2 linked regions of the Cricetulus griseus genome follow. The protein of the gene in region 1 interacts with the protein of each later gene in a biochemical or structural test. Links are inferred from orthologs where the notes say so. Each region holds a gene or a part of one and is shown on either strand. Other genes may lie near its edges.

Evidence for each region.
Region 2: the proteins of Scn8a (region 1) and Fgf14 form a complex in vitro, tested with the Homo sapiens proteins (2 studies listed by BioGRID). The link is inferred for Cricetulus griseus from reciprocal best matches to the Homo sapiens genes SCN8A and FGF14.

The regions. Positions count from the first base shown.
Region 1 is NC_048595.1:397,474,169-397,477,981, reverse strand, and holds part of Scn8a (sodium channel protein type 8 subunit alpha), read right to left. Parts: intron 3,501-3,813; coding exon 3,363-3,500; intron 2,441-3,362; coding exon 2,336-2,440; intron 1,612-2,335; coding exon 1,341-1,611; intron 1-1,340. UniProt on the Homo sapiens protein: Pore-forming subunit of a voltage-gated sodium channel complex assuming opened or closed conformations in response to the voltage difference across membranes and through which sodium ions selectively pass along their electrochemical gradient.
Region 2 is NW_023276807.1:274,270,038-274,273,950, reverse strand, and holds the start of Fgf14 (fibroblast growth factor 14), read left to right. Parts: upstream 1-1,665; coding exon 1,666-1,873; intron 1,874-3,032; exon of another isoform or gene 3,033-3,319; intron 3,320-3,913. UniProt on the Homo sapiens protein: Probably involved in nervous system development and function.

The sequences.
Region 1 (3,813 bases):
CACTTGGGGTACCTTTCAAGAAGGAGACATCACCTGAGGACTTCTTCACTCGCTAGAACTTCAACCCTGCTTTGTTTTTAGGCTGAAGGAAACATGAACTTTGGGACCAACTTGAGTTCTGCTTCTGCCACCGCCCAGGTAAACAAGCCGATCAGGGAAGGTAAGACAGCCTGGCTCTGGTGCAGCTGTGAGGTCCCAATGAGACAACTTGGGGGGGGGGTGACTTTGCAGCTACTCTTGCCCACAGTGACATCTATGTAGCCAGTACTACTGGCAATGACAGCAGCTCTGTGACCATAGCCTCCAGAATGTGCTTAGGTAATTCAGTTACTGTCTTAATCTTAGCCACACTTTGATCACTTCATACTTCACGACAGCCATGCCTGCATGTATGTATCACAGAGGTCAACCTTGGGTGTCATTTCTTAGGTGCTATCAACCTTGTTTTTTGAGACAGGGTCTCCCACTGGCCTACAACCCACCAAGTGGGCTATGCTGGCCAGCCAGTGAGCTCAAGGGGTCTGCCTGTCTCTGCCTCCCCAGTGAAGGGATTGTAACTGTGTATACCATGTCCACAACATGGGTTCTGGTGATCAAAATCAGGTCCTCATGCTTGTACAGTGGACTGGTTAGTTTTATGTCAACTTGACACATGAACTAGTTATCAGAAAGGAGTGAGCCTCAATTGAGAATATATCTCCATTAGATGGGGCTGTAGGCAAGCTTGTAGGGCATTTCTTACTTAGTGATTGATGGGGGAGAGCCCAGCTGGCCTGGGTGAGGCCATCCCTGGGCTGATGGTCCTTGGTTCTATAAGAAAGCTGGCTGAGCAACCATGGGGTGCAAGCCAGTAAGCAACACCATCCATGGCCTCTGCATCAGCTCTTTCCTCTGGGATCCTGCCCTGCTTGAGTTCCTGCCCTCACTGTTTCTGATGATGAACTGTTATATGGAACTGAGGGAAACAAACCCTTTTCTCCCCAGATTGCTTTTGGTCATGGTGTTTCATCATGTTAATAGAAACCCTAGTGAAGATATACAGCAAATCATTTTACCAGCTGAGCCATCTCTCCAGGCCATTGCCACATTTAAAAAACAAGTTTCTTTTGCTTTTCCTGGTAGATGTTGAATCCCTTGAAAGCAAATCAGATTTCATCTCCTGCCTCTGGGCTGCAGCATTTACACCCAAGAGGGCTGGGAGCACTCAGTGGAAACACTACCCATGCGCCCTGCCAGGCAGGTCTGCGAGAAGACTGAGGAGTACAATGGGGTGGGATCTGAGAGGCACCTGCTCACCCTAAATTCACCCCCTTGTCCCTCTGCTGGCCCTGCCCACTCACCCACAATGGAGAGGATGACCACCACGAAGTCAAAGATGTTCCAGCCGATGGTGAAGTAGTAGTGCCTCAAGGCAAACATTTTGAGTACACACTCGCAGGTGAAGAAGATGACGAAGACCAGATTAATCCAGTAGAGAATGTTCTCCATCTGCTTGCTTTGGGTGTCTGTCTCCACCATCATTGTCACCATGTTAAGGCAGATGAGCATCATGATGACAATGTCAAAGGCTTGCTGAGTGACAAAATCAAAGACGATCCCTTGGATTTTGTTCTGCGAAGGAGAGACGGGAGAATATTAGCTCAAGACATGCTTCATTTGCTTAAGGTGAGGGATATTTGCTTAATGACACAAACATGGGCTGCGTTCTTTTTTTTTTTCTTTTTTTTTTTTTTTTTCGAGACAGGGTTTCTCTGTGGCTTTGGAGCCTATCCTGGAACTCACTGTGTAGACCAGGCTGGTCTTGAACTCACAGAGATCCGCCTGCCTCTGCCTCCCGAGTGCTGGGATTAAAGGCGTGTGCCACCGCTTGTCGGGTTGCGTTCTTTTATGTTGCATTTGTTTAACTGTGAAGCTGTGTTACTTTGCCTGCCTAAAACACCTGATTGATCTAATAAAGAGCTGAACGACCAATAGCTAGGCAGAAAGAATAGGTGGGGCTGGCAGGCAGAGAGAATAAATAGGAGGAGAAATCTAGGGAAGAATGAGGAGCAAGAAAAGGAGGAGAGGAGGACACTAGGGCCCAGCCACCCAGCCACCCAGCCAGCCACAGAGTAAGAAGGAAAGAAAGACATATAGAATAAAGGAAGGTGAAAAGCCCAGAGGCAAAACATAGTTAAAGAGAAATGGGATAATTTAAGTTAGAAAAGCTGGCTAGAAACAAGCCAAGCTAAGGCCAGGCACTCATAAGTAAGTATAAGTCTCCCTGTATTTATTTGGGAACTGGGTGGCAGGCCCTCAGAGTGAAAAACCAACTATATTTGGCCAGTGTTCTTACCAAAGGGCGGGGAATGGGCTTCTGGGGTTTTTTGGAGCCCAGTTTCTTCATGGCATTGTAGTACTTCTTCTGTTCCTCTGTCATGAAGATGTCTTGACCTCCAAAGTAAAGAAAGGATGAAGAAAGGACAATTACAACTGGCTCTGGTGGTGCAACTGAGCATCTAGGTCCAGCACCGAGAATGGAGAGGCTCTCCCTCTAGAGGTCAGGTTGGTGGGGGAGCTCTCCTGCAGGGAGCACTCCTGGGCAATTACTCCAGCTTGGGTGTCTGAGATCTTCCAGGCCACACAGTGAGATGGGACTGTTCGACTTCAGCCTCTCAGGGCAGAAGTGGAGAGCAAGGGACCAGAAGATAGCCACATCAAGGGGAAAACATGTATTTGTTTGTTTGTTTGCTTTTGTTTTAAGAGTCTCACTATGTAATCCTGTATGGCCTGGAACTATGAAGAGAGATCTATTTGCCTGCCTCTACCTCCTGAATACTGGTATTAAAGGTGTGCACTGCCATGCCCAGCACCCCCCTCCTCCAAATATTTAAAAACAAGATTTTTGAGTGCCAAAAATGGTGCACTTGCTTTTTATGAACTTAAAAAATTGGACCATGTGGTTCTCTTAACTCACTGAACTTATGCACAAGAGTAAATCTGTCATCCAGTTTGCTTTGGAAGAATCACTACCCATGTGGGACAAGTGATGAAAGGAACCCTCTGAGGGTTGCCTTGAAATCCCACCGTGACTACTTCTGTTTCTCACCATAGCACTATCTGCTTCTTTTGTCCCTCCCTCTGGTAGAAAGCTCTAACAATAGTGGCCTCAGGAATGTGAGATCTCAGGGAAATGTGGTTAGCCACACACTGCCAAGTGCAGCCCCAAACAAAAGGGGTTGCTGCCGGGATACCAGGGCCAGTGCTACCATGAGGTAGCAGTCTGAGTTTTAGAGGAAGATAGAGTCTCCCTAGAGACAAGGCCAGTGTGCCTCTCATCTGGGTTGACCTCTGACCACTGGCAATGTGGGGAGGAGACCTATCTTTTTCTTTTGTTGATTGAAGTTATCAATGATGACACCAATGAACAGGTTGAGGGTGAAGAAGGAGCCGAAGATGATGAAGATGACGAAGTAGATGTACATGTAGATGTTGTCCTCGTATTTAGGCTGCTCATCAGGCTGCGGAAGGTGGCAAAGAGGCACTCAAGTCAGTTCCTGCCCCCGGGGTTGTTGGGACTGGGGCTGACTCCAACATGCCAAAGCTACCAGCCTTACTCTCCCTTCATGTGGCTGCCAAGCTGGGGTGGAAGCTGCAGGTTCTCTCTGCTCTCCCCTGGCCCACCTGTCCTTCAAGGGCATTGTCACTTCTGGGGCTAAAGAGCAGGGAAGCAAGGGAGAGGCAGTGAGGAAGGACAGAGGATAGTCGCTGCCACCAGGGTCAAGTGAACAGCAGGGTCTGGACGTGGAGAGCCAATGTGTGAGAAGGAAAAAG
Region 2 (3,913 bases), on another chromosome or scaffold:
AAAAAGGGTGAGTATAATGCTGGTTCAATTAGAAGGCAGAAATAAGCCACTGATTAGAGCATGAAATTAGGATACTTTCTGTCAAGGAAAGCATTTCAAAGGAATGGACTATCTGTCTAGAAAAGGCATAAATGTTATTCTGTAAATATGACTTTCCCCACAAAAAATATGCTTTCATCTAGATTTTGGTGATTGTCTTTTTTTGTTTGTTTATTTTTTGACAGGGTTTTCTGTGTATTCCTGACTGTGTTGAAATTCACTTTATGGACCAGGCTGGCCTCGATTTCACGGAGATCTTCCTGTCTCTGTCTCCTGAGTTCTGGAATTAAAGGTGTATGCCACCACTGTTCGGTTGGTGTTTGTCCTTTTATTAGGCTGTTTCTAGAAATGTGTATTGGTTATCTACCTGGCTTTTATTTTTCTATGAGCACGGTAAGTGGGAGTCACTACCCAAGAAAGAAAGGGACTTGAATTTTCCTTAATATATAAGGTGCCTTAATGTTGCTTTTGAGGATGGCGAGTGGAGTTGGTTTTGGCTGTGTGCAAATGGCATTAAACTCCTCCACCATGTATTTTCTAAGGTTTACTCATTATAATTGTTAATTGTACTTTTAAAATTCGCTTTCAACAGCAGGATTTGAGACCAGCAGCAGGCCTGTGAGCTGGGTGAGGAGGAAGAGGGTCTCTGGGGTTGGGCTGGCCTGGCTGGAGTTGGTGGAGGGGAGTGTTCTGGAGGGGTGGCACACACTGCAGTGACAGTCCCTCCCAGGGCTGGTTGAGGCACCTCACTGGTGACGGGTCTGAAAGCACGTGGCTACGTCATGGAAAGCCAGTCTTTTCAATGCAAACTTCAACTCCTCCTCCTCCCTCTAATGCCTGTAACTCACAGCCAAGGCTGGGCGAGAAATACGGAGGAGAGATTTTCCTCATGCTCACGGTGCCTGGAGACTGGAAGGAAGAGTGTAAGGAAGGAGAAAGGAAATTTGTGGCGCTTTCTACCTACTACGAGACTGACAAGGGGAGGGGGCATCTACATTACATCTTCTCTTCGTGATTAAGAACTGCAGTTTCAGTCCAATCCCACGGAGCTCTGGTGATTGCTTATCTTTGAAAAAAAAAAAATTGACCGCGGGAGAAGGAAGGCTCAGTCTTTGGCGGCCAGATACATCTCGGAGGTGGTATTGGTGTATGAGTGTGTGTGGTGGTGTTTTGTTTTTCTTTTTTCTTTTTTCTTTCTTTCTTTCTTTTTCCTTTCTTCCTTTTTTTCTCCCTCCCCCCACCCCCCGTTTTTTCCCTTCTCTCCTAGGGGCTACACAATGGCAGTCTTCTCTCGCTAAGATGAATCCAGCTTGCCTTCTGCAGATCCGCCCATCCTCAGTTCCATTGAGTAAAAGGCTATGATTTTCTCTTTGGAGATCTTTTGTGCATTACTGTTCTTCCTGATTAGTTCTGATCTCGGTTGGGATTTCTTTGCTTTTTTTGGTTTAGCTTCATGTGAAAAAGGATTTTTTTCTCTCCAACCCTTTGGTCATGATCCAGTGCTGATCAAGAGGGGATAAATCATTCACCCTGGCCGAGAAAAAACAATCGCTGAGAAGTCTCAAAGAGGTATACCACGTGAGGGGAAAAAACTGGGAGAAGATCTGGAATATTAACGTTTTTCCTATGGTAAAACCGGTGCCCCTCTTCAGGAGAACTGATTTCAAGTTATTATTATGCAACCACAAGGGCCTCTTCTTTCTCAGGGTGTCTAAGCTGCTGGGTTGCTTTTCGCCCAAATCAATGTGGTTTCTTTGGAACATTTTCAGCAAAGGAACGCATATGCTGCAGTGTCTTTGTGGCAAGAGTCTTAAGAAAAACAAGAACCCAACTGGTAAGCAAAGCATGCATCATATTCTGTTTTTCCTCGTAATACCCTGTCTGTTGCTCACCGAGCTAGGTCTGCAGTTTTGCTATGCAGGAGGCCAGGGAACACCAAGGAACCCGGACAGTGTTGCATACAGAGGTGTTGCATGAATAAACAAGTAGCTACCGCCGATTTGCTTCCTCCGGACCCAAAAAACCTGATCAACAGCTCTTAGCTGTGACACAATCCATCACTAGGAGGGAGGAGTAAACTTTTTTTTTTTAAACCCCACTAAATGGATTTGGTCTCTCGTTTGTCTGGTGGAATATTGAAGGGCTTATGGCTTATGGCTGTGCCAGGAGAAAGAGCAGAGAGCTTGCCTTACTTCTGCTCCTCTGGGGACAGAGCTTTAGACTTTCTGATTAGCTTGCACAATATTCGCCACCCCATCACCTTTAGCAAAGTAAAAGCTCCCCCTCCTTCATGGCCCGGCTCCTCCGTCAGCCCCCGCCTCCCTCCCCCGTCTAGCTCTGGGTGCTATTAACTCATTCCCTAGTCTGCCTCTGACACATCTAGCCTGCGAACAGTGAACACTGGAGCAGGGCTTGTGCCTGGGGGAACCAGGTCCTAGAGGACAACCCCAGTCCCTCTAATATATGCCATTTAAGTTCCTTTCCCTTTCACAAACGGGCGTGCAAACCCTGTGTGTGGGTCCCAGGATGACCAGCGGGTCCCTGCCTTATGCCTTCTGGCGACCACACGCCCCGATTTCAAAGGGCTCCAACCAGGGAACTTGCAGTATATTACATAAGAAATGCAAATGCAGGTGATTTGGGGAGCCGGTCCCAGGGGTTTACTTCCCTGTGTCTAGTCTGAGGCGTTTGGGAGCCGCGGAGTCGTGGGCGAGCAACCCTCAGGCAGCTACGCTGGAGGGCTGCCTGGCGGTGGCAGCTGCGGCAAAGGAGGCTGGGTGCAGTGTTTCCTCAAATCATTTCTGCTGTCAGCCAGGAGCGTGCGGCATCTCCTGTTTGGGATGGAGTGGGGAGAGGCCTGGAGCGGAGCGGTTTATTTATTTATTTATTTATTTATTTATTTATTTATTTATTTATTTATTTATTTATTTATTTTGTCTGTAGCTGTGCTGGAGGGGCGGGGGATCATCTGTCCTGCAGCGGCAGCGGGGCAACTAAGGCTGCTTGAAGCTGGCACTGCGGTGCACTAGATCATGGCTCTCCCGCGACCGCCCTGACACCTGGGGCTCAGAGCCGGCCACGCTGTCACCCAGAACTCCCACGGCTGGGCAGCAAGTGGCTGCTCGCTCCCAGCCTCTCAACCTAGCAAATGTAACATCATGGGGATGACGCGAGCAGAGGGGGTTGCGGCCTTGTGGTTTTAAGGAGAACAGAGGAGCGTGGGTGGGCGGGGTTGGAAGCAGTGGGTGTGGAGGTCTAGGACGTTTTGCAGACACCACTTCTGCAAAAAAAGGCAAGGTGCATGAGAGTTGTTAAGAGTGTCCAAAAGGGCAAATGCTCCTGTGCTCAGGGCAAGGGAAGTTGCTCCTAGCTGGGGAGCTTAGAGGACTATGGAGGTTCTGAGAAGAGACAGCCATTGACTTCTCAAGGGTTACCTGCTCATTGAAGTTGTTGCCTCTGTCCTACTGTCCTGGTCCTTGAATTCTACATTCATACCTTGCCTAACGAGCCTCCTTCACTGTTTCCTGTCCTTTTACCCTTCTGCACCTTACCTACTCAGCGTTTAGTGACACTGGAAGTCTCATCCTGAGACTTCTCTAAGGAAAGAGCAGACTGGACACCCTACTTAGCAGAGCATTCCTGATTCAGGCCCAGAGTGTACTCCCGGTCCTTGGCATCCAGCCTAACACTACAGATGCTTGGTTCAATTACCCACCTACATCTGCAGCACTGGTTCATGCCCTGAACATGAAATAGCTGTCTGCAGGACTTTCCAAGGTGGACAGGCCAAAGGCTAGAAGCCTTCTTGTGTTGTTCTGTGAAAAGATTTAGCTTTCTTCTGAAAAAGCAACACAGTAGAAAGCCTTTCTTTTTT